Linked DNA regions of Rhinolophus ferrumequinum. The protein of the gene in region 3 interacts with the protein of the main gene of each other region in a biochemical or structural test. Links are inferred from orthologs where the notes say so. Each region holds a gene or a part of one and is shown on either strand. Other genes may lie near its edges.

Region 1 (7,817 bases), on a different chromosome or scaffold from region 3:
CTGGCTAGGAGGCCTCTGTGCTGTCCCTCGTGCCAGGGACAAACGAGGAAAAGCTAGAGAACAGGAGGGAAACGACCTTTCTCAGTCCCCCAAGACTGCCCTTGGAGAGGCCATTCTGAGCCTCAGTACCCGCGAGGCGCAGCGCCGGAGCATGGGCAGGACGGCTCCAGCCTTTATCTGAACTGTAACGTCCGAGTCCTGTCGGGCCCGCTGGGGCCTACCAGACTCCTGTCTTTGCTGCGGAGTTTCCGGCAAAGGACCACAGGGTGGCTGTAGGGGTGGGGAAGTGGCAGGGGACGAGCAGAGGTGACTGAGCGGCGAGTTTTTACTTCTTTATTATCATCATTAATAATAATATTAATATTATTACCGAAGTATTTCACGTCCCGAGCTAAGACAAGACTACAAACACAACACATAGAAAATTAATAAAATAGAACTTTGTTTTCTTCTGAGGCTCCTCTTCTTACTTCTAGGTAGTATGTGCTCCTTCCAGTGGCTTTGAGGGGTAGGGGGTAGGAGAGAGGTCTGGGGTTAGGGAGTCTTCGAGGCCCCCGCTGAGGGGACTGCGAAGCTACCATTGAAACCGTGCACGGGGGACATGGACGAAATGAGACGCGACACGGACAAGAGTGTTTTTTGCTCTGCTTCCAGGAAACATCAAGTGAGTCCGGTCCTCAGTTCTCACGGGTTGGAGGGGGGCTGATCGGGCTGAGGCGGGTTCCACGCGGATAGAGGGGGCGCACGGGGTGCTGGGTGGGCTCAGGAGGCACAGCCTCCCAGCTCACAGCGAGAGCTCTGCAGGTGGGGGCGTCCAGGAGAGCGCTGGGCCCCACCTGTCTGTGCTGGAGAGCAGGTCCCTGGGCTCCCCCGCCTGCAGAGCCTTCTCGGGGCTCTCCGATGCCCACGGCTGCCCACAGGCCTCTCCTTTCGCGTCCCCCCTCCCTTTCCAGCGCCTTCACTCCGCTGGTTTTTCTTCCTCCTCCTCCGCACTGAGCTGAGAGGCGCTGAGCAATTTGCTCTCCTTTTTCCACTTCATGCGCCGGTTCTGGAACCAAATCTTGATCTGGCGCTCGGTCAGGCACAGGGCGTGTGCGATCTCGATGCGCCGCCGCCGGGTCAGGTAGCGATTGTAGTGAAACTCCTTCTCCAGCTCCAAGGTCTGATAGCGCGTGTAAGTCTGGCGGCCGCGCCGACCGCTGGGCCCAAAGGAGGAACCTGTTACGCAGAGAAGAGATGCTGAGGCCTGAGGTCACTAGGGCTAGAGTCCCCCTCCCCCATTCGACTCTCAAACAAGGACTCCAGCCTGTCCCGGGATGCCCTCCAATCTCACATTCCCTGCCCACCCCCCTCACCCTCCAGCGCCCCCTCCAGATTCCCTCCGGGTCTCCTAGGCCTGCGATTCCGGTCTAGACTTATGGTGGGGGATGGGAGGAGCAGTTTAAAATCCCACCTGAGTCTAGGGGGAGGGGCTGGGAAAGTATACTGGCCAGGTGTGTCTCTTCCTGGCCAGATCTTTTTTTCCCCATCCTTCTAGCTCCCGCACCACCGTGTGATAGATTCCAGCCCTTAATCCGTAATGACGTGGATCGATCCATAGTCGGCATTAACGGCTCCTCACTTTCGTGTCCCGCTAATGGACATCAATTTGGGACTTAAGGCCGACAAATAATCCAACCTGAGACCCAGGCGCCTGCTTCTGCCACTTTCCCCCTCCGCCCGCTACCCCGCTCCTTCTTCCCCTTATTCTCCCTCCGTCTTCTGACTACCGCCCCTTTCCTGGTTCCTCATTTTTCCCCAACCCCCCGCCCCCAGGGAAACACAGTCCGGGACAAGTCCACTCTCCCTCGCCAGCGTCACGCCGCCCCCCTTCCCGTGACGCACTCGGTTTTTAATGGAACAGTCTTTGGATGGGGGACCCTACCAGGTCTGGGGGCGCAAGGGAAAGCCAAGCGCATGACTGCGGCCCTTGCCCCCTGCCCTGACTCGCAAGCCCTGCTCTGGCCTGCCACCCCCGAGAGCCCACTCGCTACCCTGCCTCCGAGTGCGGCTGGGACTTTGCAAACTTTGTAACAACTGAGGGTGAGAGGCCAGAGCAGAAGCCCCAGTGCGAGCGCCCCATCTCCCCTTCACTCCTAACTGAGATGCGCACCCCGCATCCAGCTGGAGAATGGGGAGCTGCTACTTCTGTCTCCCGAGGTGGGGGCCCGCAGGGGTCGCAGCGACGGCGGAGTCTCACTCACTGTTGCACGAATTCATCCGCTGCATCCAGGGGTAGACGGGCGTGGAGCACTTCTGCTCCTCAGGCTCGCCGAACACGCTCTTGTCCTGTGCACAGTCGGACTTCCGCGGCTCCGGATGGAAGGGGGGCGGCTCGTCGGCGCCCGAGAGAGCGCAGGCCGACTCCTTCTCGCGGTAGAAGGCCGGCGCCGGGCCATAGTCGCAGGGCGCCGCTCGGCCATAGCCGCCGCCCGCCGGCGGGTAATAGGAGGAGGCGGCAAAGCCCTTGTCCTGGCCGGGCCCGGGCCCATAGGGCGCAGGGTAGTGCCTCAGCGGGTCCGCATAGCCCGACGAGTAGAGCGGTAGCTGGCCCAGGAAGGACTCCTGCCCGCTGGCCAGAGTGACGGGGAAGGTGGAGTTCACGAAATAGGAACTCATTGGGAGGGAGGCGCGCACGGCCGCTGCTGCTCCGCCGGGTTTATGATTTGTTGTGTTTTATAGTCCGAGCGCCGCGCCTATTAGTAGTATATCTGAGATTGGGTTTTAGCTGAGGGGGGATGGCGAGGTGCCAGTGAGGGCCAGAAGGAAATACAACCATCTGATCCAACACTGACCAATGGCAGAGGCAGGAATTGTCAAATAGCACCCAGGAGGAGCGCAGCCGGCACGAGGGACCCGCGCACAAACCTATCAACCTTTTTTTCCTCCTTCTCCTTTCTCTCTCTCTCTCCCCACAACCCGACGCGTCCTGTTCCACCTACGTAGGATCTGCGAAAGAAGCGTCTGTGCCTTTGAGGGAGGAGGGAGCTTTGGGTTGAGACCACCCCACTCCCCAGTGATTAAATAAATATAACCTCCCCTCCCCACGCAGAATAGGGAAAAGTTAATTGTGTTTTCAGAAAAGTTAACCCCTGCGTTGCTTAAGTCCCATTCCCTCAAAGGAAGGGTGGGTAACCATCCCTGAATCTCAAATTTCAATCTGGCTAGAAGGGAACTAAAGGAGAAGGTTTGTTTCTAGGGTTTTGTGTTGGTCGAAGGGGAGAAGAGTTCTCTGCTAATTAGCTTTGTCTTCAGAAAGAGAGTCGAAGAAGAAACCATCTCCTTCCCAGGTTTTGAAAACCGTTTTTTGTTTGTTTGTTTGTTTGTTTCTGTTTCTCAGATTTTCTCTGTCTCCTCCAAACCCAGGGTTATTATTCCTGCTTCTCCACAACTCTTATGGTCTGTGGGGCAGGCCAGAGCCTGCTGCCCAGAAGACCCGAGATGCAGGGAAGCAGGAGGAGGGTCTTCTCCCTCTGGCTCTGCGGCTAGGCTAGGAGCTTTTTGGAAGGCTATGGTTGCTGCTGCCGGAGACATCTCGCCTGGTTCTAGTATGCACCACTTGCTCTTGGCACAGGGAGGAGCACTGGAGAAAGGGATTAGCCCTCTCCTCACTTAGGGATATGGAGAGGAGGTGTGAGGGGTGACCCCCAGCCTAGATTTCCTGATCCCTATCCTGCCAGCAACCCTCACTCCACCCCCACGTCTTGCCCAAAAGATATAAGAATATCCTGAGCTACAGATTCTTAGGAATCAAGGTTGTCTCAGAAAGTGGATGTAGGGAAGAAAGTGGTCCTCCAGTTTAGGGTCCTCAAGCCCTCCTGATATTTGAGGCGATCAGAGACCACTGGGAAGAGAGGAACCCTTGCACCTTTTCCAAGTCTCTTCAGAAGCTGGAAGTTCTTTTTTAAATCAATTATTTCCCAAGACTTGATTATGGTTTGGTTTTATAAAGAGGGAAGGGTGTTTGGGTCCTCCTGGGGACTTAGCAGGCAGCTTACAACTATCAGCCTGCATCCCCTCTCCAGATGCTCACCCCCCTTCTGTCTCAGCACTTGTACAATCCTTCCCACATCTCACGTTTGTATCACCAGCTTTGCTGTGTGTGGTTCAAGTTTGGGTGTGTGAGAGAGTATATGTCTCTGGCTCTCTCATCTAAGGAAAATCAACATTAAAGCCAGGCTGGAGGCCTGAGCCACAATGTGTTTTTCAACATTCTAATATGCATGTGGTGGCCAGGCAGTACAAGGTGACTACCTTTGGACCTGGAGCCAGGAATGGGCCAGGTTGTGGGATAAAATCTGATGAAGGGGCCAAGCTGAGCTTCCTCTCTACCTTGCCTTTTGGGTTCCGTTTGGTGGGCCAGCTCTGGCCATTGAAGATGATACAAGACACTAGGGAAAATAGTAGAGGGCTGAGGTTGGTGACTAAGGGTAAGAACGCGAATGGTTGTAAAGTGGCCTACAAGGCTTCCTAAATTCAGGACAATTTCTAGGCTCCACTTTCATGACCAAGTGGTGATCCCTTCCCAGCCTGATTCTATGGCCATTTTATCAAGATTTAAGAAAATAAAACTCAAGCCTCCTAATGAGGGAAAATCATAAATGTTCCAATCTAGCTGTGATTGGGCCCACTCCTGAAGAGGAATGGGGAATATTTGGGCAGGGGGAGCAAGATGGGAGAGTGCCTAGATACACCTCCCCCTTCTCTGCCACTGAGGCTGGACCTTGGGCCTCAGCCCTCTCTGCCTCCTTCCTGACCACAATGTCCTCATCTTAGGACTGGCAGGTTTGGTCTTGCGTGTGGAGCCTGGACAAAGTAAGGTTCCCCTGTGATATAGAAGCAGGAAAATAACTGCCTTATCCTTAGAGTCATAGCCCCAAATTAACCTCACCTCTGCAGGTTGCCTGTCCTGAGATGGAGCCGCAAAGGCAGGGCCTGGGCGCCTGGAGTCCGGCATGAAAGGAAATAGCGCCTCATCGCTCTTATCTAAGCTCAGAGGTATTTATGAGCGTTTATTCCTCTGATCCGTTTGTTTGGGAGAACGAGCAGGCAGGCAGAGCTGGGCCAGAGACCGCCTGGTTTCTGGAGCCAGATCTCTAGAATCTGTCTGTGGTTCGGTCCACTGCCGCCCACATCTGTCTGTCTCCAAGGGGGGATATGTAAATACACAGCAACACAGCCCATCTGCCAGTGTGGGGTGTCTCTCCCTGCCTCCATGAGATAGCTTGTGTATGGGGAGGTGGATATAAATGTGTACCAAGTCTTGAGTACACAACAGAAGGATGGTACAGAAACCCCACAGGCAGGATTTATAATTGTAGTTTTCTGTGCTGCAAATCGACGCTCCTATGGATGCACACATTCCAGCTCCCAGGGAAATGTCTTGGTTGTGTTCAGCTCAGGAGTAAAATTCTCCTGTACCAGCAACCTCAGGGAGGGGTATTTGCCTGTATGTATGTGGAGGGGAGGGGAGATTGAGACATTGTCCAGGCTTCCCTTCTCCTCTCAGCTACAAAGCTCCCACCACCTCCAGCTCTTTGGGTTGTGGGCACCTTCCCCCACCACTTTCCCAACTCTGACTACGATGGCGCGAATTAAAACATCACAACCCAAATCTGTGATTCTCTGGATTTGAGGAACATAAATGTTCTCAGAGGGAGCAGTGTGGCCTCCCCCAACCTTTGGGAGCTGTTTAGATGGGACAGGCCCTAAAAATGGGCCGGTCCAGAGCGGTACAAAGACATAATTTCCATTATGCAAATGAGCGGCAATGTCCCAGCTCTACCGGTGGGGAGGGCAGCGGTGCTCAGCTCGCTCTCCCTGTTCCCACCCCCTCAGGTCTGCCGGCACCCTAAGAGCCCTGAACTGTTTCAACACTGTACCAGACGCCTTCCCTTCCATATCTGTCCTTTGGATTGCCCACAAGAAAAAATCCCGAGGGGCCCAAGACTTTCGGGGCGTGCTCCCTCGGGGCCTCCCTCCCTGGGCCGCGCCTTCTAGCCGCCAGAAAGTCATTCTCCCTGCGGAAAAGCTGAAAGGGCTTCCCCTGCGGCCCAGACTCACCCCGCGACGACAGCCGCCGTGTTTGCCCCCAGCACCGCTGGGCCCCTGGACCTCGGCAGCTCCTCCAGCTCCCGGGCCAGGCCCTGGTAACACCTCGGCCTGCCTGGCACTACAGGCAATTTCCTGGAGCCCCCGCCCAGGAACCAGGGCCACAGCACCTTGAAAGGAATGGCCAGAGCTTCCTCCTGCGGCTTGAAAGCCCGGGCTAATCAGTAACCCGTGAGACAGGGGCCAATATTCAAACGCGGCAGCAGAGGCGAGGACCCCCGCCCTCGCCACCCCTTCTGGGAAAGCGGGTGTGAAGGGTCCGGCAGGAACGGAAATTACGATGGTTAGGTTCCTTAATGATTGGTTTGGTTCCTTAATGATTCATCTCTACTCCTACTCCCAATTTTCCCCCAAAGCATATTTGAGTCGATTTCGCTTGAAACGATCGAGAATGAGGGAGGGGCCCACACTCACTTGCAGACACCATCAGTTTCCAGAAAACTCGGCTCAATTCCTTCGTCACGGACTCACCGGCCAAGGGACTGGCCAAGACCCACAAGCCAACCGGGAGAACACAGACCCGGTTGTCTTTTGACAACCGAGTGGAACTGCCGGGCCGGCGCCTCCTCAGCTGGACCCTCCCTTGGCCGAAAAGAAAACCAAATAAACCTTGAACAGCCTTGGCCTCGGATCTCGGAGCGACCCGGATAATCCCCTCTCCCACCTGCGGTGGGGGGTGGTGGGGGCTCACGACAGCGATTCCCCAACCCTTCGTTTCAGGGCCCCCTGCCCGCGGGATGCAGTATTAGTCCTCTTTAAATATGTCCTAGAAAAAAACTGCTTCCCCAGCCAGCCGCCAGGTTTGGAACCGGGATAGGGCGGGCGAGCAGTTAGGGGACTCTTGTTCTCTAATCCACACGCCGGCGGGCGGGAACCAAAATCCAGCGGAAAGCGACAATCTGGGCCCAAATTCCACCAAATCCCACGGAACCTGAGCCGCCAGGCTCCAGGCGTCCGGCGTGGTTCAGGCAGCGTCGCGGGGCTTACCGAAGCCGCATGTCTCCAAACGGACGGTAGATGGCAGCAAACCGCATAATTTGGGTCAGAGCAAACTGTCTAAGGGATGATTTATACCCCGTCGAGACTACAGGAGAAAAAGATCTTTAGTCTGGGTGGGTTTGGGGAATTTTTTCCTTTGAGAATAGGCTCCGAGTGCCATGGGTGCTGACTGAGAACTTCTCTGGCTACGCAGCGAGGGGTCCCTCCAGGCATCCAGTCCAGGCCGGCTGGGAGGGCATCTACCTGGGCCTCCAGGGGCCCCCTCCCGCGCTACAAGTGGCTATGTCCCTCTCTTCCCAGCTCAGGACTGAGAGGACCAATATTGCCCTCCACATCCCCAGACCCCGCAATCGCTGGGCAACCAGAGGCCCGAGGCTGAACGCTCTGCCTCTGGTCTTTTTAAAAAAAGAAAAGCAATCACCTATTCATGCAAACAAAACTAAATCAGTCTCTCTTGCCCTCCGCGCCCAAAGTCTCTTATCTCTTGGCTTACAGCTTCCGCAGAAGCCCTCTCACTCTATTTTCAAATCCTCACCTAGCGGCTTGTGCCTTCTTGCACTCAATCAGCTACTTTAGGAATCTCAGTCTCTGGCCCGAAGGTTCTTCCCCCCACCCCCACGCCCCCTCCAGGAGGCCTGGCTGGGTAATGAAATCAGGCGCCGGTGGAA
Region 2 (7,338 bases), about 2.0 Mb from region 3:
TGACCCCAGGGTTTGGGTCTGTTCATTTCCTCCCTGTCCATGGACCTGAACCCGGGGAGGGGTGTAAGCAAACCTGCAGGGACGCTGCCGTGGGTGTGTGTGTGTGTGTGTGTGGAGGGGGGAATCCCAAGAGAGGAAGCCACGTGCTGGGAAGTGCTCGGTGCCAGGAAATGCAAAGCAGGGCGACAGGAATGGGAAGGCACTTGCTTTTAAATCGTGGCCAGGCAGCCCCCCCGGGCACAGCCCGCAGCCCTCAGGCAGGAGGCAATGTGGGCCAGAGGAAGGCAGGGTGGGCTCGCAGGCAGAGGTGGGAGCCTGCAGGGGGCGGGGCAGAGGAGCGCCCCACCGGCTTCTGTCTTTAAGGCTCTCTCTGCTCAGACGGGGGCAATGACAGTGACGACAGGCTGGGAGGCTGGGGCGGGAACCCTGATGTCTGAAAACTCTTCATTTCTCAGTTTCTCAAATCCTTCACTTCAACTGGTTCTTCTACATGAACGACCCAACAACCTTTACATCGCCAGCAGCTATGCCCTGGCCACCCCCGGGCCAGAGGGCACAGCACACATTAGCCCCCAAAGGCCTGCTGCCCACTGGCTTCCCCACTGACAGAGCCCTCAGAGGGCAGGCCCCCCTCCCCTGACCAGGGCAAAGCAGACAGCGCAGACTGGCAGGACGCTTCTGCTGAATTCATGAACACAGTTCTGTGACCGACGACAAGCAGCCTGGTAAGCGGCTGTTTAAGTGAGGCAAAGGTCCCTAGCAAGTCTGAGCTAGGCTAGGCATCAAAACAGGTTTCTGAAGCCCCAGGCCAGCTCTGGAACACGGAGCAGCCATGGACACCTGCGTCCACACAATTCCCCCAGTGCTCTGGGGGGGGGGGACTGCGCCGAGCCCAGGCCACGACTCAGTAGGGTGAACTGCCTGCCTGCCACCCATGTGCCAGGACCGCGCCTCTTCTGCTCTGAAGACCGGGCAAAGCTGCCCACGGAGGCCCTGTCCCACCTAGTGCCTAGCTGTGGCGGTCCCAGGTGTGAAAGGTCAACGAGGGGTAGTCCCACAGGAGCTCCTGCAGCCCCCCTCCCAGGGGAGCCGAGGGACCAGGCCAGGTCACAGTAAGACTTTCTGCCATCAGGGCACAAAGCCACAGGTGCCCACCAGCACTGTCCCAGGCAGAAGCCTGGTCTCCAAGATGGTGCTTCCGCTCCTGCGGGCCGCCCAGGGTCCAGGAGAAAGCAGCCAATATATTACATTTTAATTACAACACTAGGAAGCGCTCACTCAGAATCCCACTTAACACGGAACCTGCCTTCCCCAGCGAACAGACAGGCACTTAAGGAGCGTTATGTGTTACGAGATGCTTCAGAGCAGCAAAGTTGCAGATGCAAATAGAACATATCCGTGAACTACTAGAGACGCCCGCAGGACAAAAGGCCGAGTTCACCAAGCGGGAGGGAGGTCTGCCCTCCACCTTCCTCCAGGGCCCTGTAACGGGCTGTCCTTGAACCTGTTCTTCTCCGATCAGCTCTGCTGGTTGACAGCACGGACTTCAGAGCTTCTTACTGGCTGTGGGAGTGTGGCAAGCTGCTCGTCTCCCCCAACCTCAACTTCCTCACCTGTAAAATGGGGGGGGGGTGGTACTCAGACCCCACAGGTTTGCCCAAGACGAAACAGATAGTGCATGAAAAACCCTGGATGGGCCTTTTCCACACGCCCACAAATTCCCCCAGGGGAACAGCCTTCTCTTGCCTCACCCAAGCAACCTGCACTCAGGACACCCTCTGCCCAGGCTGTACTTCCTGTTCTCGTTTGACAAACCTCCCAGGACCCCAGGCTGTTTCTGAAGCAAGGTCCCAAACACGGACTCTAACCAGACAAAGGTGCAGCAGGACGCAGAATTCACCCCTAAGCCACCCAAAAGGCCGCAAACAAATTAGGACAAATTAGGATCCATCTCCCTTTTCTGTCGGGTAGGTCCTTTACCTAAAGGCAACGTTTCCTGAATGGCAAGAAACATTTGTGGCTACCCTCTTTAAAAGGCAACAAAAAGCCAACTTTGCAAACACAGTACAGTAACTTTGCAAACCGCGGAGCCAAGCACACTTTCCAAGCATACAAACCAGACCAGTTCACACTGTGATTCAGGAGCGACTGCAGGCCGTGATCCTGAGCCCAGCTAATCAATCATTCCCTTCCCTTCCCTCCTACTCACGAAACCACCAATTCCAACCTCTGTTCAATTGATACAAAGCAACCTGAAAAACAATTCTGCCTCCGGCGAAGCGCCGCCGGGCAGGGTCCCACCAACGACAAGAGGAGCTCTCGAGAGGCGCAGGAAAACTCAGGCTTGTTTTGGTTTGTAGACATCAAACGCAAATCCCCCAAACAAGCCAGCGATTTTGCAATCCAAGACTTTCAACTCTCTCTGCTGGGCCTTCTCTCCCCGGCTGGAAAGCGCCACAGGTTTGTGAGCACAGCCGTGACCCCGGAAACGCACGTCCCTCGCAGGAGGGAAGCGCCTGTCAACCCCGCCTCGGCTCCCCGGACGCACCGCGAGTCCGCGCCGGAGGGGACACCCCCCACTTTCACAAGGGAAGGCGACGGGAGCCCGAGGGAGCAAGGCCGGGGCGACGCCGAGGCCGGGGCAGCAGAGTTGGGCCGTAACCCGCGGCGTCAACTGCTCGGAGGCGGACGGTTCCCGGGCTTAGGGGCCTGGGCGGGTCCCGGGGCGCGCAGGGGGCGGAGGTCGGGGCCCAAGGGTTCGCGGGGTGGAGGGGCGCCCGCCCGCCCGGCCCGACGGCGGCAGAAGCCCCGCGCAGCCGAGGCCCGGCCCCCATCCTGCTGCCGCTTCCTGCGCGCCCCCCGCCCGTGCTCACCTCGGGCGGCCGCAGCCCGGCAAGCGAGGCGGACGAGGCGGCGGCGACGGTGGCGGCGCGGCGCTTCCTTTGTCTCGGGACTTCCCTCCCGAGCCCGCTCCGCGCGCAGCCCGAGCGCTCCGAGGACCCCGGCGCGGGCGGGGCGCGGGCGGGGCTTGCGGAGGCTGCCCGCCGCATGCCTGCTCTGCACGCCGCCGCCGCCGCCCCGCGCCCAGCGCAGCCCATACCGCCGTTCGCCGCCCGCCGCCCGCGACCCGCTGCTGCGCGCCCACGCCCCGGGCTTGCCCAGGGAGTCCGGCCCGGGGGCGATTTTCCAGTCAGGCGGCGCTCTGGACACCTGGGCCCTTAAAGGAGCCGCGTCCCCGATGTCAGGGAGCGTCTACAAACTCCCCTTCGCGACGCGCGCGTCAACTCGAGGACACGCCGGTGAGCAGCAGGAGAAAGAGGAGGCCGAGATCTCCAAGGGCGCCCCAGATGCCTCGTGGGCACCTTTCTGGGCACGGGTCCCGTTGGTCTCCTTGGGGCTAAGACCCAGGGCCGGGGGACAAAGACCACTGAGGCCTACGGATCCCCAGAAGCGTCGCAGCACGGTGACGATCCTCCGAGTACTGCGTCTGTGAAACCCCTTACAATTGGCCGGTTCGGGGCGCTGGGCGGGGCGTCCATCGAATTGTCCCAATGAGCTGACCCCATACAAACGACCGAGAGCTTGCCCGACCGACGGGAGGAAAAGTGCGGACGCTCCCTAACCCAGGGGCTGGCCGAGGGGGAGGGGCGCAGGGGCTGCGAGCGGGAGGCCGAGGTGCGGGCTGGGACCCCTGCCCGGCTCCTGCAGTCAGGGTCTGGGGGTCCACCCCCAGCCCTTGTGTGAACGCTGGTCCTTCCTGGCCTCGCTGAGTATCTCCCCGTCGGGCCAATTCCCAGGGCCAGCTTCATTGCCCAAACCCCAGCTCTGGGTGGGGAGAGGGCGCTTCCCAAGGTCAGCCCGCTCCGCCCGTGGGCGCTTAGGGATCAGGCCGCGATGGGTGTGGAGGGCGCCTGACCCTAGCCGCGCAGCGGGGGGTGCTGGACAACCCCAGCGATTTGCATTTACTCCTTTCCCTCCCTTTTTTGCTTCCTTCCCTCCCTCCATCTCCCTTCTCTGGCCCTCCCCCCACACCCCCAAGTGCCTCTTTTGGCCCTGTGCTCAGAGACTGTTGGCTTCCCCAGGGGCTGGACCATAGGTCCGGTGTACTATGTCCCACATCTGGCCCAGTGCTCTGAGTGGACGAATTCCATGTGCTCCTAGCCATCCTGTTACTCTGGGGCAGTAAAATGAAGCTGAGGGTCTCCTGGGTGTGGTGGCTCTGCTTGGCTGGATTGGGGGTCTGCCTACGATACCTCCTGGTCAGCCGTGGCCCAGAGAGAAGGCGTGGCTATAGGGACTGGGGTCCCAGGTGACAAAGGCCGGAGGGCCCCTCCGGCGCCATTGAGCAGAATGTGAGCGTTCCAAATCCCTCCCAGACTCTGAACTCCAAAGAGGCTGCTCTCTCCTGGGTCCCCACAATGATTCAGTATCTGCCTGGCCTGGGGACGCTGCCTGCTTCACCCAGGCAGCTATAGTTCTCAACCTCGGGGTGCCAGAAGCATCAAGGGGCTTGTCTGTGACACCCTTTCTCTGGTTCCCCAGCCCTGGTTGGCCAGCTCTGAGTAGTCCTCAAAGTGTGCCTTATATAATGAGTGCCCCGGCGAGGCCTGCCACACACCTCAGCTGAGCTACACTGGAAGAAACCAGCTTCCTGCTGAGGTGCATGGGCCTTAGGTACCAATGCCATCTTTCTCATTCGGGTGCCAGGAGGTTTGTTTGCACAGGGCTGCTTGGGGAAGGCACGCCGCAAATGGCCAGTAAAAGGTGGTGGCCATTGCTGGAGTCAAGAGAAGAACCAGGAGCCCAAGAGGGCTCAGCATAGCCAGGGGGCAGAGGGAGGGCGCAGCTGGTGGCCTGGATGTGGCGTGTCGTGGAGGGCCTGGGCCTCCACATTCTGTGGGCCATGGGGAGCCATGAAAGGTTGTGGAGCAGGAGACTCAGGGTCCTGGGTTCCATGTTTGTGTGTGGAACTGGAGATGGTGAGTCGTCCAGCAGAGAGAACTTCCATCCTGGTGAAAAGGGGTGTGAGGCCCAAAGTCCCTCATGCAGGAAGGAGAATGTTGGGACTGGTAGATGGAGAAGGAAGCGTGTAGCAGGAGGGTGGGTTGGAAGAGGGCAGGGAAGCTACCTCAGATCTGGTATCGTCAGCCCAGGAGCCTGCATCTGGCACACACGTTCTCAGTGATGGCCCCTGAGCCATCCATTCATCAGTCAGTTCACAAGCATTTATCCAGCATTGACTGGCCTTGAAGAAACTATGTTGTAGACGGGGCCACATGGCAGGGCCCTGGGGCAGCATCCAGGAGCTGAGAATGGCCCTCTGCCAACAGCAAGCCAGCCAGCAAGAAAGCAGGGACCTTGAGACTTCAATAACAAAGAGCCGAAGAATGCCACAACCAGTGAGTTTGCAGGAAGTCCCTCAGCCTCAGATGAGGACTGGAGAATGCCACCCCAGACTTTGGAGACCTGGAGCAAAGGACCCCACTAAGCCTGGGCTTCTGATGCACAGAACCTGTGATAATAAATGTGCTTTATTTAAAGCTGCTAAGTTTGTGGTAATTTGTTACACACTAATAATTAAAGTACCTGGTTTAGGTAGGGTGGTCAGGGAGGTCTCTGAGGAGGTGACCTTGAAACAGGAAGGGAGAGCAACATCCAGTTGTTGGGAGGGCTGGGGGAAGAGCCTTGGGGTCAGGAGCTGGAGGTGGGGTGAGGAAAGGCCGAGAGGCTAGGGCAGGGTAAGCCGGGGGATGGTGGTACGGGGTGCAGTTGGAACAGGCAGTGGGGACCAGACCTCGAATGAGATTTCCAATGTGCTGGTAAGTTTGCTGTGTGTCCAAAGTGAAGCACTTCCAGTGGGAGGGGGGATTTGATTGGGTCCAGCTCCCTGAGTACAAAGGAGAAACAGGTTTGCAGAAGGCTTTGTGCAGAATCAGTGAATATAAAACGGGGGAAGGATTCAAGCTGATTGTACCAGGTCATGTGGCCACCTGGTGGGGAGGGAGTGGTAAGTGTGATTGGGAGCTGCCTAGAGTAGGGGCAGTACCCTGTCCCCTGGGTTCTCGCCAGGGGGCCGAGCTGTGGGCACGAAGGTTTGTGTGCAGGGTCCATTGTTCAGGGGCTGGCTTAAAAAGAAAGATCTAGAAGAACGAAGTTGGACTCCTACCTCACACCACATACAAAACTAACTCAAAGGCCTAACGTGAGGGCCAAAACTATAAAACTCTTAGAAAAGAAAACGGGAAAATCTTCATGACACTGGATTTGGCAATAATTTCTTGGCTATGACACCAAAAGCACAGGCAGCTAAAGAAACGGATAAGTTGGATTTCATCAAAATTAAAAACTTTTGTTCCTCAAAGGACTCATAGTAGCAAAGAGGCAATGAACAGAAAGGGAGAAAATATTTGCAAATTACATATCTGATAAGGGAGGTTAATATCTACAATATATAAAGAACCCCTTCAACTCAACAACAACAACAAAAACACCAATTCAAATATGGGGAAAGGGTCTAAATAGACATTTCTCCAAGAAGATACACAAATGGCCAAAAAGCACATGAAAAGATGCTCAAGACCACTAGTCAGTAGGGAAATGCAAATCAAAACCAGCAGGAGATACCACTTCACGCCCAATGGATAGTTACTATCAAAAAATGGAAAACAACGAGCGTTGGCAAGAATGTGGAGAAATCGGAAGCCTTGTGCATTGGTTATGTAAAATGGTGCAGCTGCTGTGGAAAAGTCTGGAAGGAGAGACGGCTGGGGGCCTGAGGGAGCCCATGAGGGCCTGGACCTGTCTCCCTGAGCTTGGGAACTGTCTTTGAAGGATGAGGAGCCCCACATTCCACTCTGGGGGGGGTGCATGCGGACTGCAAGGGGGGGCACCGTCCCCTCCCCACAGCCTCCATCTCCTCCATCCCAGCCCTGGGGCCCTCTGCTTCCTTCTGCTCCAGCTGTGCCGAGGCCACATCCTGGGGCTCTGGGGTTCTTCCTGCCCTGCAGCCCAGACTAGCTAGGTAGAGCCTTTCACACAATGTTCCTATGTAGCACTGACTTGGCTGTGGGAGTGTCGGGGAAGATGCTGGACCAAAGCTGAGCCTAAGCGGAGGGTTCTGGAAGTGCCACCACGGGCATGTGCACCTTCGGACCATGGAGACAGATATCTCCAGGTGTGCCCAGCCCCCCTTCCAAGGGGCTCCCTTTCCAAGCTCCCCAAGGGAACCCTCTGACCCCAAAGGGCTGGGGAACCCCTCTGATCTCTGCCTGACTCCTTGACCCTGGCCTGGCCCCACAGGACACAGGAGTGCCTTCTAGTGGTCCCAAGCTGGGATGC
Region 3 (7,851 bases):
GGGGAAAAAGTGGGCAAGAATGGAAAATCCTTTTGGATAAACTTTGATGTACTTAGCAGCACATTAAGTATCTGACCATTCAACAACGGAACTACCCAAAAGGCCATCCTTTGGGCTCCATCTTGGAAACAGCAAGATGTATATACTGTGTTTCCCCTAAAACAAGACTTAGCTGGAAAATCAGCTCTAATGCATCCTTTGAGGCAAAAAATAATTTAAGATCTGTCTTATTTTACTATAAGACCCGGTCTTACATTAATTTTTGCTCCAAAAGACACATTACAGCTGATTGTCTGGCCAAGTCTTATTTTCGGGGAAACACAGTAGTAGATCAACCTTTTTGTTAAGTCTTGTGTTAATTTGTTCCTCTGTATAAAACAAAATCTGCAATAACCTCATTCAACAGTAGCAAAGTTGCAAAGCCATCCAAAAAGTTACCAGTTTCAGAGACAAGCTTCAAAGCTGAACTTGCCTGGTATGATCTACTTTTCATATGATTAAAGACTTTTCACTCAAAAAAGGCAAGATTAATGAAGCAAAGGAGATCTGCAGTAAAAGAGCATTTAAATCACAGTTGTTTCCACATTTCTCACTTCAGGTAAGGCGATTTTACAAGACTAAAATCAAACTCAACTCTTTATTAGTTCTTAAAAGAGTATTAGTAACTTTCATATCCCATGACACTTATTTACTCTTTCCCACTGTAGAACGAATTTCATTTTAATTAAACAACAATCTCCTTGATAGATTTTTACGTAAATTGTTTCTCTCACTTCTACATTAACGAATATTCTAGGAATTGTATTAAAACCAAAGCCATAAAATTCAAGCTCTGTTTCAATAGCAGAAATAGATTTTTAGACCACGAGTAGAAATGTGCTAGTGGTCAGTCACAAAAATATTTGCAGAAGCTGAACAGCTGTGTCTACTGCAAATCTGAAGGCATTGCTGCAGCAAATCTAATTCAATTTGGACTCATTCATTATAAACTGATTTTCAGATGCTGCTACTGCAAAGCCGTACTGGAAAAATGCAAGCTGCGCCCGGAGACAGAACTGTTCCCAGAGGCGACAAGTTCTTACTGCCAAGGAGAGCTCTAAAAGAGGAAATACAACTAGTTCATAATGCTACCATGAACCAGCCCAGAAGAACCCAGAATTATTAAATGAATAGAAAACTAAAATATTTCTCTTAGGCAATTGATAATGATTACCTAAGGAAGTTTACAGGAAGCTGCTTAATGAGAAAAAGATTTATTCAGTATCCTGCTAAAAGAATTGTTTTTGAAAAACCGTAATTCCTGTGTTCCCTAATATTTTTCATACATCTACACTGTAAAAGTAACACGAGCTCAAATGGCGATTGCAGCCCAAATGAATCTATTTAACTTTTTTTTAAGGTTATACATGTGAAATTAAACACACCACAGTAACTTTTAGAACATCCTGCTAACAAAGTTTGGGATTGTGGAAAATGGAATGACTCGGTTGACCAAACAACGAGAGTTTTCAAGATAACTACTAATGTGCTCCCAAAGAGCACAGAGCACATTCCAAGAAACTTCTAAGTCGTAACTCATAATCTGGCTGTTGCTGAGTGTCTTCTGGTCACAGCGTTGCGAATGTGTCACCAATTCAGAAAACACTTGGGGTCCCCTTTCGGCGGCACTATTTGCTTCTCTATCCGTCAAACTTACCCTTTGCTGTCATCCCTCCAGACAGCCACGCGTGTGTCGACACACGGCGGCAGAGGGAGGAGTATGGAATCACCACGCAAAACAAACAATCTCCTCTTTACTTTTTCTCCCTGGAAGTACCACTCGGTTTCCACGCGAGAAAGGTCCACCAACTCCGGGGAACCCGAGTACACCCGGGCATGTGAGGCCCAACTCGGGTTCCACGACAGTCTTCCTAAAAACTTCCCGTCTCTGGCGGAGCTCTCGGGGAAGGGGCTGCGCCGGCCTCCACTTCGGGGAGCTCCGCACGCCCGCCAACGAGTTCGGCTCTCCGGAGGACACTCACCTTCGGGGGGATCTGACAGCGACCCCCGGGGCTCCCACCCCCGCTCAGCCCCCTCCTCACCTGTGCTGTCATTAGCCGAGAAGCCGGGCGAGCTGAGTTTGGCTCTTTTGGGGTTGGGCGGTCCGTCCAGCAAGTTCTCGGCCATTTTCACCTGCTCGCTGAAACAGCCCCGAACGCGGGCGGCGGGACCAGCGAGTGCTCCGGAGCGGGGGTCGGCGCCGGCCCCAGCCGGCTACGAAGGGAGAGCAGCGAGCGCGAGCGGCGAGCCGCGAGCGAGCGCCGAGGGAGAGGGAGGGCGCAGGGCCGGGTGGGGGAGGCGGCGGCCAAATCTCAGCCACAGCAACAGCGCCCCGCAGCGCTCACCGCCCGCCCCCGGCCGCTGCCGCCGCCGGCCGCGGCCCCCTCATCCCCTGCCCGCCTCCCGAGCGCGACACTCCGCGGCGGGGGCGCCCCGGCGGCCCGGCCGCCCCCACGGGCCCGGCTGGTAGCGACGGCGCCCGGCTGGCCGGCTCAGGCAGTCCCCGGGAACATGGTGCCGCCGCCGCGCCGCCGCCTCACTCCCCCCCCCCCGCGCCCCACTTAATTAATTCGCTCGCGGCCCGACGACCGGGGGGCTCCGGGCTCCGCTCTCTGCCCGCGGCCCGCCGCTGCCGCCGCCGCCGCCGCCGTAAGAAAAAACAATGCGCGAAGCGGGGCCGCCGCCGCCGCCGCCGCCACGGCCCCCCCACCCCCCGTTCCGCCGCCGCCGCCGCCGCTGCCGCCGCCGCCGCCGCCGCCGCCGCCGCCGCGGCTCCGGGAGGCCGAGCCGAGAAGCGAGCGGGGCCGCCGGAGCGGGCGCCGAGGGCCGGGCGGAGCGGGCCGGCCGGGCGGAGCGGGGTGCGCGGGCGGTTGTGGGGCCCGGGACCGGCGGGGCCGAGTAGATCGCGCTCGAAGCCCCGGTCGGGTCCGCGACAAGATGGCGGCTGTTGATTCCTCAATTAAAAAAAAAAGAAAGTTTTTTTTCTTCTCTTTCCAGAGCCTGAACGGGGAGGGGGAGGGGGCGGGGCACGCCGGTGCGTCACCCCCCCGCGGCGTCACCACGCACGGCCCCCGCCCCGCCCCCTCCACCTGCGCCGGCCCGGCGGAAAGAGCCGAGCGAGCTCGGGTAGTAGGGCCGAAGGCGCGGCTGCGGTGTGTTGCGCGGCGGGGCGGCGGCCGGGCCTACGGGACCACGGACGCCGGGCCCGGCGGACACTTTTGTTCTGACCGCGATTGGGCTGCCGGGCCCCGCCTGGCCGCGGACCGGACCCCAGGCGCAGAGTCGGCACCGGCCGGGCCTGTCCGTCCCTCTGGGGCGACTCTGCCGGGTCCCGGCTCCTCACTTCCCTGCCCGCGATGTCCAGGGCGACACGAGCCAAGCCTGGTCACTTCCCCTTGCCGGATGCCAGCGATCTGTCGTGGCCTCTACAGGTTACAGACCGCCCTAGGTCCGCCTGCGAGCTTGTGCAAATGGGGAAACTGAGGCAGGAAGTGGCAGGGCCGGGATTCGAACTTCCGCTGTCAAAGTAAAATGAAGGGGACGCAAAACTCCTGAGCCCCTGCTCCCCAGCCCAATGCGACGGGGTCCCAGGGGCCGACTCCTCACCTACAAGGGAAGGTGGTGAGCGCTGTTCCTACCCTGGGCTGGGGCGCGGCCAGCCTGTGCCAGGCCCAAATGGCCCCTTACATCCGGGCTTGGGCCCTGGGAACTCCGCAGGAGATCCAGACAGGTGTGGGGTCCGGCTAGTATAGCCACTCCCCGCGGGACAGTTCCACAAAAATCTAAGGTTTGCATCCCAGTTTTATCTGTTCCTCCGACTTGCCTGGCGCCTCATCCCGAAGTCCTTATCTGAAAGGTATCACCAGCAACCCTGTTTCCTAAGCCAGAAACCTGTGAGTCAACTCAGACTCCTCCCTCTCTCTCTCCACCCACCGTGCAGCCAGTCTGCCCACGTCCTTTACCTGGGGAAACGGCTCTTCCTCCCCATCCCACTGTCCCAGAGTCGTTCAGCATCGCCCGGGTGGCAGCTTCCCAGTTAAACGTCCCTTGCGCTCTACATTTCTCCCCACGCAGCACCAGAGTTAACTTCCTGGAAAAAAACGGAAAGAACTCTGTTTAAAATAAATAACTCCTACACATAGGGAAAAACAAAACACACACACAAAAACTATATATATAGTCTTTAAAAAATAAAAAAAGAACATGTGTATAGTCTGTTTAAAATATGTGTACCAAAAGAGATTGTCTTCCAGTGTCAAGACTGAATGATCTACTTTTTTCTATTTATATTGCTCAAAATCTTGTACTGCCCCCACCCCTTGCTTCTGTCCCTTCCACTTTCCATCCCTCATTCCGCCATCACGTCCCTTCACCTGCTCAGCCATTAGGAAGTTCTCATCATTCAGGCCTTTATGTATTTTTGCAAATACTGTTCCCTGTGCTGAGAATATATATGTCTGGCAAACTCTAACTCACCCTCCAAGACCCAGTTCAAATGTTACCTACTCCAGGAAGCCCTCCTAGCCCACCTAAAGACTCCCACAGCACTCTGGGCATACCTCTATGAGGACACATCCCACAGTATGTCATTATTTTTTTTATCCATTCATGTTTTATTTATCCATCAAATATCCCTGAGAAACTCCTGAGGTCACTGCCGTTGGGCTAATCGTTTGGGTAAAGAAGAAAGAAAGGAATCCCTATATATTCAAGGATGCCAAGTAGCAAGCCTTGGAAACCATAAACAGAAGTATGTAAGAAGTCAATTTGCAGAGCCAGGCAGGAAGTGTATCGAGTCACAGAGTAACATAGGGCTGGCAGCATCCTATACCTGAATGTACCATGTGTGTCCCTCTCATGATGAGTCTGCGGGCCCTTTGAGAGAAAGGGCCATGTCTTACTATGTACAGTGCCCTCCAAGAAGTAGGTTTGTAACATGAATGAATGAATGAATGAATGAGTGAATGAGTGAATGAAAATGAATAAACACTGTCAGGTCCCCTGACTCCCCAAGGCTTTCAGTGCCCCCTGAGTCCTAGAGGCCTCCAGGCTCCTGAGAAAGGTGGGCTCCAGCCCGAGGCAGTTCCAGGCCACAACCCCACAGAGGAGACAACACGTCAGGTCACTGAGAAGCCTCAGTCAGGGTCTACCTTGGTTCAGTAGGGTTACCACCTGGCCCTCAGGGTCCCTCAGTAAATTATTTACACAGCCATGTGCACATGAACTTGCAGCATACCCCCATCCGTGGGCAACTATGACACAGGTCGTGCCCCATTTTACAGAGAGGGAAACTGAGGAGACCCAGTTCAAATGACCCAGAGGTAAATGGCCTGGATATGTCAGAGCCAAGGCAGAAACACAGGTCTTCAAACTCCAATCACATGCTCCTCCCTGACCACGTTCAACATTAAAACATGTCTCATTTGTATCATTTTGATCAATTCCTCTGGTATTTCCTGACATCTGCTTTTTCTTTCCTATTTCTTCTCCCCTTGTTTTGACTCTTCCAAAAACGTTGTGCTCAGAATTGATAGGGGAATAGCAAGGAAGTTAGCTGTCTGCCTGCACATCCTTAGCTGGGGATCAAGGTCAACATAGATAAAAGGGACCCAACACTGTTGAGTCCCTTCTGTATGTCAGGCCACTTTGCGACATGCTGCACTTGGATCAGCACTTCCCACAATCCTGGAAGGAAATATCATTGTCTTCATTTTATAGATGAGGAAATAAAGCACAGAGGAGGGCAAGTCACTCAGTTACTAAGAAGCTCAACTAGGGTTTCCAGGCAGGAATTCCTGCCCGTTCTCAGGAGTTTTTTTCATTTTCCCGTTCCCGAATCCCAAGATATAAACTGTTTTCTGTTCTCCATGATGAATCCTTTCCACAAAGTGACAGCCAATACTACCAACCAGCTGGGTTCAAGGAGCCGATTTTCCCGATTTCCCGACCAACTTTTCTCGGGATTTGGGAACGGGCAAGTGAAAAAATTTCATGAGAATGGGCGGGAATTTCCACCCGGAAACCCTAGGCTCAACTGGATTGCAAACCTAAGGCTGCCTGCTCTTTCCACAGACCTCACCCTCTCTAGTCAATCCCAGAGGCTACAGGACCAAGGAACCCCACTTACAGAATGCTTAGGGGCCAAGAGAATGAGGTGAGGAGGGGCCAGCAGAGGAACAGAAGGTAGAAATCAATCAGGAAAGATTTCCTGAGAGAAGTCCATTTGAATCCCTCAGCCGATGAATGGATACACATACTGTGTTACATCCACACAATGGAATAGTATTCAGGCATACAAGGAATGAAGCACTGACACAGGCTACAACCTGAATGAACCTTGAAAACGTTATGCTCAGTGAAAGATGCCAGTCACCAAAGACCATATATTATATGTTTCCATTTATATGAAATGTCCAGAATAGGCAAATTCACAGAGACAGAAGGTAAAGTAGTGGTTGCGGGGGCGGCGGTGGGGGCAGGGGCTGAGGAGAGAGGGGAGATAGTGGATGGTAGTAGCTAAAGGATATTGGGGTGATGAAATGTTCTAAAATTAATGATGATGATAGTTGAACAACTCTGAACATACCAAAAACCATCGAAATTTACACTTTGAATGGGTGGATTGTATGGTATGTGAATTATAACTCAATAAAGCTTGTTTTTAACATATCAATTTAGAAAGAAGGAAGAGAGACCAGGAATGACGGAGGGAGGCAGGGGCTCCCAACAGAGGGAAACAAGTCAAGGGGCCAGCTGGTGGAGCACACAGAGATCGGCACGGTGGTGCCAGGAGGAAGGCTCCAGGAGGGGTAGATTTGATGTGACTGGGATTTCCCAACTGGGGGCTGAGGGATGAACTGGCACACAGTAAACGAAGACCGAGATTCACAGACTGAACTAGAAAAAGAGGAAACTGAAGAGGAGAGGCTTTCCCCCCACACTCCAGTTGCACAATCAGCTGCCTCCTGCTTTGGACCCCAGTGGACACCTCACACCCAGTGGGCTGCACACAGAGGCCACAACCCTCTTCCCACACCAGCTCCTCCTCACGTTCTCCCCGTCCCAGGAACACACCCCTCTCTTCTGTGGCCTACCTTCCCACCTCCCCTGTCCAGAACCTTTACCCCCTCCCCCAATGACTCCTCTGGAGGGTTTATTACCCTCCACAGGGAACCCTTACACGGCTCCATCTCTTCCATTCCCAGACAAACTGCTTGACCAAGTTGTCTATACCACAGACCTCACCCTCTCTAGTCAATCCCAGAGGCTACAGGACCAAGGAACCCCACTTACAGAATGCTTAGGGGCCAAGAGAATGAGGTAAGGAGGGGCCAACTTGCTTCCTTTGCTACCATTCACGGTTTTGATTTTTTCTCACGAAAAATTTCATTCTGGGTGATGAACACACAATGTGATTTATAGATAATGTAATACAGAATTGTATACCTGAAATCTATGTAACTTTACTAACAATTGTCACCCCAATAAACTTTAATTAAAAAAAAAGAAAAAAAAAGAAAAGTTCCAAACAAGTAGAAAATAATACATAGACGCTCTGTCTACGTGACTAAGGTACACAATGTTAACATTTTGCCACACCAGCTTCAGATCTTTATTTTACTTATTTAAGAAATAACATGTCAGAGACAGAGCTGAAGCTACCCCCTATTTCCTGTCTCCCTCCACCAAAGTCACCACTCTACTGAAGTTGGTGTGTATCATTACCCTGTAAAATGTGGATTTTTGTTAAGTCGAACCATATGAAACTGCCAATATTTGACAGTTTTTGATCCTGTCCAACATAACAACTAC
Region 4 (7,182 bases), on a different chromosome or scaffold from region 3:
TGGTGGTACAACCAGGAGAGTGACCCTGAGCAGGCACGGGTCCCAGGCCTGGAGGGGTCTGTCACGGTCGCTGAGTCCAGTGAGTGCCACCCTGTTTAAGCATCAGAAACTGCGTAGCAAACAAAATCCCACTTGGAAATCTAATATAAAAGTGGCATGCACCACTAGCATGTGTGTGGTTTCATAACAGTGCTTCCTAATTACTGAAGATGAAACTACAAATCAAGTGTAAAACTGTCAAAGCATTTTAGATTTCTAAGCCACTAGCGATAAAATATTAAATGCGTTCAGTAAGCTCGAACATATAACATTTATTTACTGTAGAGTCACCTTGATGATGGCGCTGAGGTGATTTTTATGAATGCAAAACACGAAAAGCAAGGTTGTAATCATTTCAGTCTCGGTATCCAAATTATTTCTATGTTTTCTTTGCTTGCTCAGGTCTGAGAAGTCTAGATTCGTACGGATAAGTGGTTTGAAGAGTTCACTTGGAATCTCAGGGTACTCTTCAATTAAACGGTTTGATTGATTCATTCATTCATCCAACAAGTATTTATTGAGTGCCTACTATGTGCCAGGCATTCTGCTGAGGCTTGATAAATACTTGGTTCAATCTAAATCACCAATGTCACATTATTTATGTTCCTCATTGTGAGTGTAAGTCAAATGAAAAAAGACAATATTAAAGCAGGCCATGTATAATCGCTCAACCTAAAGGAGCATGTCCCAGCCCCGTGGGCCTGAGTCTTGCCTGGAAAAAGCAAGTATGACTGAGCATGTATGTCTAATCATGTATGCGACTATCCAGTTTAGAAGGAATACAACCATCCACCTTAAAGACATGTTTCAAGAAGTTCAAATATATGCATAGAAATTCAAAGGGCATGAGGCCACGCATTCATTCATTCAACATTTATCAAGTTCCTACAGTGTGATAGCCACTGTGATGGTTTCTGAAAAGGCCATGGTGAATCAAACATCCCTGCCTTGATGGGACTATGTCAATCAATGAGCAAACGAATAAAGAAGATAACTAAAGAGCGGCTGTGCTAAGAAAGACCTGAGCAGGGTGATGTGATGCAGCTGTCCTAGAGAGGATGTCTTAGAGACATCCCAAGGAGGTCACGTTTGAGCTGAGACGTGATATATAAAAAGCAGCCGATGTTGGGAAGAGCCTGGAAGAGACTGCGATAATCAGCGAGCACAAGGCTCCAAGTGTTGGAAGACAGGAAGGGAGGTCATGCTAGAATGGGGTGACCAAAGAGAACAGTGGTTCCAGGTGAAATTGCAGAGATGGGCTGAAGGCAGGTCGTGCAGCGCCTCACAGGCCAGGGTGAAGAGGTGAGATTTTATTCTAAATGCAATGAGAAGCTGTTGGGGAGTTTGAAGCACAAGAGGGATATAATCCCATTTATGCTTTTAAAGGATGACTCAGGCTGCTGTGTAGTGAATGGATTATACAGGGGCAAGAGTGGAAACGAGGAGAGCATCCCCTACTGGGGTCACCCAAGCCAGCAGTGTGGCAGCTTAATCCAAGGTGGTCACACTGGGGATGGACAGACTTGAGAGATGTCTTAGAGGTCAAATGGACAGGTCTTCCACATGACCAGATCTCCCTTCTGGAATGCCAGCCTCAGAAATCCCCCTGCCTACCTGTCATCACCACTTGGATATTGAATACTTATTTCAAATTTTGCCCAAATTTGGACTCTTGGCAGACTTACTCTTCCCCAACTTCATTCTTTCAGAAGTCAACCCTAACTCCTCTTTGTCTCACTGCCCACATCCAATTACGAATACATTTTGCTGGCTCCCTATTCAAAATATATCTGGAATTCAAATACTTTCACCATCTCTACTGCTGACAGCCAGATCTAAGCCACCATCACCACTCACTTGGGTTATTGCAATAGTCTCCTAATCGGTCTCCCTGCTTCTGCCCTTGCTCTCCATAACCAGTATCCTCCTATTAAAATTAAGTCCGATGGTGACATTCTTCTCTTCTCCTGAAGCCCTCCAGTGGCTTTCCATCTCAGAATACAATTCCTTTGCTTTCTGTCTGACCCATCCCCCACCACTCTCCCACTTGCTCACCCTGCTCTAGTCATACCAGCTTCCTTGCTGCACTTTAAGTCTGCCAAACAGTCTTGCCCAGGACCTTGGCACATGCTCTTCCCTCTATCTGGCTCCAGATATCTGCTTCTGCCCTCCTTTCATTCAGGTTTCTGCCCAAATATAATCAGCCCAGAGAAATAACTTTCATCACTTTGTTCCTTTGCCTTGTTTTCTTTTTCTTTGTAGAACTTATAACCTCCTGACATTATATACTTCCTTGCTCATTCGTTTATTGTTTGTCACCCTACCCTAAAATGAAAGCACCATGAAAGCAGGGTCTTGGTTTTGTTCATTGCTCTGTCTCCAACACCTAGACAGGTACCTGGCACATAATGGATGTTCCATAATGTGTTAAATGAATAAATGAAGGTGGTTTTATGGAATGAAGGGACTTGAGCACTTCACGAAGAAGACCTTCAGCACTACCACAAGTGGCAGAGAAGTTAAGAAGGCAGGGCTCCAAGAGAGCCCTCGAGGTTTGATGGGAAGGGAGGACTTCCCAGCACCCAAGGGTCAGTTAGGACAGATCCCAGAAGTTAGTGGGAGAGGCACAAAGATCACTCTTGCTTTTATCTCTTGGCTCTAGGAAGAGAGACCTCAGTAGGTGTATCTGGTTCAAGGGAGACCTCTAGCCAGAGTGCAGAGAGGAAGGTGTGAACTGCAGAGCAGACCTATGGGGGTAGGGGGACCTCAGGCTTGTGAGGAAGCCAGAGATGCCATGGAGTGGTTGCCTCCTCCTATCCCCAGTCTCTGCAGTGGGCCTGCTGGGAAGAAATGCAGCTGCGGCCTCTGGGAGCTGAGCCCTAAGATTACATGGGCCCCTGGCAGGGCTCTGTGCCCCAGCTAACAGCTGGGAAGCCCACAGAGAGCACACCAGCCAACCGGTGCCAGCAACAGAAGCAATCCCTCTTGCTAGTATAGCCTTACATCTCAGACTGAAGGCTTCCACATCTTTGGTCTCCAGAATCTCACCACCGACCACCACAATCACTCTAAGAGATTGCTGTTGTTGTCCTCAATGGGTAAACAGGATCGGAAGGCGAGTGACTTGCACAAAATCACGCATGAAACTGGGGGTCTGGACTCGAACTTAGGTCATTGGTCTGTAAACTCCACCCTCAAAGATTCCACTCTGGAGTCTGGGCTTTCCAAGCCTTTGCGCGATGAACTTTCCTGATGCAGCACTGCGAGGCGGAGGCAAGCCCCAAGGAGATGGCGTTTTCTTCCCAGCCGAAGAGGCATCTCTGAGAGCAGCACTGGACACCTGGCTGCCAAAATGCACAGTTTGACTCGGGCAGGCGTCCACTTCCCTCCCTCCCTCCAGGCCGGGGCAGGAGTTGAGCTTGGAAAGATTGGCATGAAGCTTTAGTAGTGATCCTGGACTCCTGTATAAATGAGACTGGATTTCTAAGCGTCCAGGGAAAATGAGCAGGAACTGGCCTAATGGCATGGTCACCACGTCCACTTTATCTCAGTTTTGCCTACTTGACTCTCGGGTCTATCTCTCATTGCGCGTTTCTCCGCCTCTGACTCCCCAGCTTTCTGCTCGCTAAATGTCTCAGCCTCTTGCATATATCTCTCTCACTATCTCAGCTCTACGTGTGTCTCTACCCCATTGCTATGTGTCTTTCTCCAGGTCTGATTTCTACTCCTACTCTGCTTTGGGTCCCCCGCAAATCAGAGGACAGAGGGGCCCAAAGTCAGCTGGGAAGTGAGAGCCCGCGCGGCCAGCGTTTTCCGCAGAGATAGGAGGAGTCCTGTGCTGGAGAGGGTTGGGAAGAGTGTGCCCGGGAGCCAAGTGTAGCAGCATTGGGCTGCCAGCCTCTGCCTCCTTTCCTGCCTAGGGAGGAGCCGGACCACGCGCGCGCGCGCGCGTCTAGGGATCGGGGCCTGGCCAGTCTCTAGCCCCTGCGGCCACCCTGGGGATCCCAAGCTCCGCCCCGTCCCGTTCCTATTGGCCTCGGGCGCCCCCGCCCCCAGCCGCCCGCTCCCGCCCCCGGCGCCTGGCGTGAAAATAGGGGTGGAGAAGCCCCAGGGAGCTGCCGCTACTTTCCGCGGAGTCCATCAGGCGGGACAGGACGGGGCAGGGTACTGGACGGTCAGACCCCCAGCATTTCGCTATCGCGCTGCAGGAGACCCGAAGAAAGTTTCGGGCAATCCCTGCCTCCGGGGTTGGGCGAAGCCAGGACTGCGCTGCTCCCCGCCGGGATATGGAGCTCCTGTCGCCGCCACTCCGCGACGTAGACTTGACTGGCCCCGACGGCTCTCTTTGCAACTTTGCCACAACGGACGACTTCTACGATGACCCGTGTTTCGACTCCCCGGACCTGCGCTTCTTCGAGGACCTGGACCCGCGCCTCGTGCACGTGGGCGCGCTCCTAAAGCCCGAGGAGCCATCGCATTTCCCCGCGGCCGTGCACCCGGCCCCCGGCGCGCGCGAGGACGAGCATGTGCGCGCGCCCAGCGGGCACCACCAGGCGGGTCGCTGTCTACTGTGGGCCTGCAAGGCATGCAAGCGCAAGACCACCAACGCTGACCGCCGCAAGGCCGCCACCATGCGCGAGCGGCGCCGCCTGAGCAAAGTCAACGAAGCCTTCGAGACGCTCAAGCGCTGCACGTCTAGCAATCCTAACCAGCGTCTGCCCAAGGTGGAGATCCTGCGCAACGCAATCCGTTATATCGAAGGCCTGCAGGAGCTGCTGCGCGACCAGGACGCCGCGCCCCCTGGCGCCGCTGCCGCCTTCTACGCGCCCGGCCCGTTGCCCCCCGGCCGCGGCGGTGAGCACTACAGCGGCGACTCGGACGCGTCCAGCCCGCGCTCCAACTGCTCCGACGGCATGGTAAGGCTGGAACCCCGGGCTAGAAGAGAAGTGGGGACAGCTCTCGGGAGTATCTGGGAAGCCATTCCGAGGGCGGGGAGCTAACTGACCCTCCAGGGAGAGGTTTGGACAGGAGTGGACCCCTTGTCCCGGGCAGCTGCCACTGGGGTGGCCTAGTGTTTTGGGAACACATCGTACAGATGCAATCCACTCGATGGGGAGCACTGTTAGAACACCTCTGCGCCGTGGTCTGCTTTTTCTACACTTGTCCTTATTATCAAAATTAAGATTTGTAGCCCTAGGTGACAGTCTGCCCTCTATTTGGCCCTGCATACTGCAGACAGCTCCTGCCCACCCTTACCCCCACCCCTATCAGGGCAGGAAATTCGAGGGTGAGATTTGGGAAGTTGTGGAGGGGCGGCCAAAGAGAGTGATGTTCCAGGCTCGCCTGGTCCCACGGGCCTGAGTCGGTCGCCCTTGCCGTTTGCAGATGGACTACAGCGGCCCCCCAAGCGGTGTCCGGCGGCGGAACTGCTACGACGGCACCTACTACAGCGAGGCGCCCAGCGGTGCGTATTCGCGCCTCCTCACGTTACTCTTTGACCTGCCCTAGCTTCCCTTTATCTAGGATCCCTGCCCCATCCCTCCTCCTCCCTCCACACACACATCATGGCAGATGGCACAAGGAAGGAAATACTAAGCATGTAGCTCCCTCTCTTTTCGCTCCCCACTCTCTCTGGATAGCCCCAGACAATGGCAGGTCCTCAGTTTCCCGTCTGCCGCAAAGGACTGGGCCCAGAAGTTGGAGACTTGTCCGCGGCTCAACACCTACATACTAACCTACCCTTCCCCGCGCAGAACCCAGGCCCGGGAAGAACGCTGCGGTATCGAGCCTTGACTGCCTGTCCAGCATCGTGGAGCGCATCTCCACCGACAGCCCCACTGCGCCCGCGCTTCTGCTGGCCGACGCGCCGCCGGCGTTGTCTCCCGGCCCACACGAGGCCGCCGCCCCGAGCGAGGGCGATCGCAGCGCCCCCACCCCTACCCCCGACGCCGCTCCTCAGTGCCCCGCGGGCGCCAACCCCAACCGGATCTACCAGGTGCTCTGAGGGTGTGGGCGGCCGCGTCGGAGGACGTCGCTGTCCACCTGCCCGAGGGATGGTGCCCCTAGGGTCCCTCGCACCCAAAAGATTGAGCTTAAATGCCCCCCCCAACTGCGCTTTTAAAGCGACCCTTCCCAAGGGAGGATAGGCAGGAGAACTGATGTGTCTCCTGCCTCCCGCACCCCAGGGCAAGGACACAGCCCGTTTTTTCCACGCAGCACCCTTCTCTGAGACCCGCTGCGATGGCCGTTATGTGTTCCTCGGTGGGCCACAGATGACTCTGGAGGGGCCAGGCCCTTTCTCTTCCTCGACACTTTCCCCCATGGGGGTGGGAACCGCGCCGACCCCAGTCCCTTGACGCCGAGGTCGCTTATGGGGGCGTGGCCTCTCCTTTTGCTAGCCCCGAAGACACGCGCTCTTTCCCACAGCCAGCGGGGTGCGCTCAGGTCCCAAGTGTAACAAGTGTAACGGTAACCACTCTCACCCCTCCCCCTGTTCAGGACCACTTTTTTGTAATACTTTTGTAATCTATTCCTGTAAATAAGAGTTGCTTTGACAGAGCAGGAGCCCGTAGGGCTGTATTTATCTCTGAGGCATGGTGTGCGGTGCGACAGGCACTTTGTATGTTTATACTGCAGCGGGCGAGCCGCGGGCGCTCGCTCAGGTGTTGGAAATAAAAACGCTAATTTATACCGAGGTGGCTCCGGCTTTCCCTAGGGATGGGGGCAGGATTTTGAGGGGACGGAAAATCCACAAAGGAGTACCGCAACTAGCCCTGTAGGCGGCAGGTGGATTGCAAGGAGGAAGCCTGAGGTCAGGAGAAAGAAGCGATGTGCCTCCCATACGTGGGGAGGTTTCTAAGACGGTGAGGAGCAGCACCACACGCAGGTCAGTGGTTCTCCTGTCAGGGTGCAGATTAGAATGATCTGAATAGTTTTCAAAAAGACCCATGCCTGGTCTCCTCGCCACCAAAGGTTGTGCTTTAAGGTATCTGCCCCAGAACCTCAGAGTTGGTATTTTTCAAAAGCTCCCCATTTTTCAAAATGCAAGGTTGAGAATCACACGCCTCCATACACAGAGTGAACCCAGGTGTGGTGTCCAGAAGGATCACTGGGAAGTAATGGCCCCAGGTGCCACTCAGAATC

Evidence for each region.
Region 1: the proteins of CREBBP (region 3) and HOXB6 form a complex in vitro, tested with the Homo sapiens proteins (2 studies listed by BioGRID). The link is inferred for Rhinolophus ferrumequinum from reciprocal best matches to the Homo sapiens genes CREBBP and HOXB6.
Region 2: the proteins of CREBBP (region 3) and UBE2I form a complex in vitro, tested with the Homo sapiens proteins (2 studies listed by BioGRID, with this or other methods). The link is inferred for Rhinolophus ferrumequinum from reciprocal best matches to the Homo sapiens genes CREBBP and UBE2I.
Region 4: the proteins of CREBBP (region 3) and MYOD1 form a complex in vitro, tested with the Homo sapiens proteins (4 studies listed by BioGRID, with this or other methods). The link is inferred for Rhinolophus ferrumequinum from reciprocal best matches to the Homo sapiens genes CREBBP and MYOD1.

Annotation. Positions count from the first base shown.
Region 1 is NC_046304.1:34,459,962-34,467,778, reverse strand, and holds HOXB6 (homeobox protein Hox-B6), read right to left. Parts: upstream 3,003-7,817; 5' UTR 2,659-3,002; coding exon 2,244-2,658; intron 1,219-2,243; coding exon 959-1,218; 3' UTR 334-958; downstream 1-333. UniProt on the Homo sapiens protein: Sequence-specific transcription factor which is part of a developmental regulatory system that provides cells with specific positional identities on the anterior-posterior axis.
Region 2 is NW_022680357.1:3,163,348-3,170,685, reverse strand, and holds the start of UBE2I (SUMO-conjugating enzyme UBC9), read right to left. Parts: upstream 3,016-7,338; 5' UTR 2,874-3,015; intron 1-2,873. UniProt on the Homo sapiens protein: Accepts the ubiquitin-like proteins SUMO1, SUMO2, SUMO3, SUMO4 and SUMO1P1/SUMO5 from the UBLE1A-UBLE1B E1 complex and catalyzes their covalent attachment to other proteins with the help of an E3 ligase such as RANBP2, CBX4 and ZNF451.
Region 3 is NW_022680357.1:5,205,665-5,213,515, forward strand, and holds the start of CREBBP (CREB-binding protein), read right to left. Parts: upstream 3,009-7,851; 5' UTR 2,167-3,008; coding exon 2,082-2,166; intron 1-2,081. UniProt on the Homo sapiens protein: Acetylates histones, giving a specific tag for transcriptional activation. Mediates acetylation of histone H3 at 'Lys-18' and 'Lys-27' (H3K18ac and H3K27ac, respectively).
Region 4 is NC_046294.1:36,066,235-36,073,416, reverse strand, and holds MYOD1 (myoblast determination protein 1), read left to right. Parts: upstream 1-4,173; 5' UTR 4,174-4,325; coding exon 4,326-4,955; intron 4,956-5,424; coding exon 5,425-5,503; intron 5,504-5,792; coding exon 5,793-6,043; 3' UTR 6,044-6,729; downstream 6,730-7,182. UniProt on the Homo sapiens protein: Acts as a transcriptional activator that promotes transcription of muscle-specific target genes and plays a role in muscle differentiation. Together with MYF5 and MYOG, co-occupies muscle-specific gene promoter core region during myogenesis.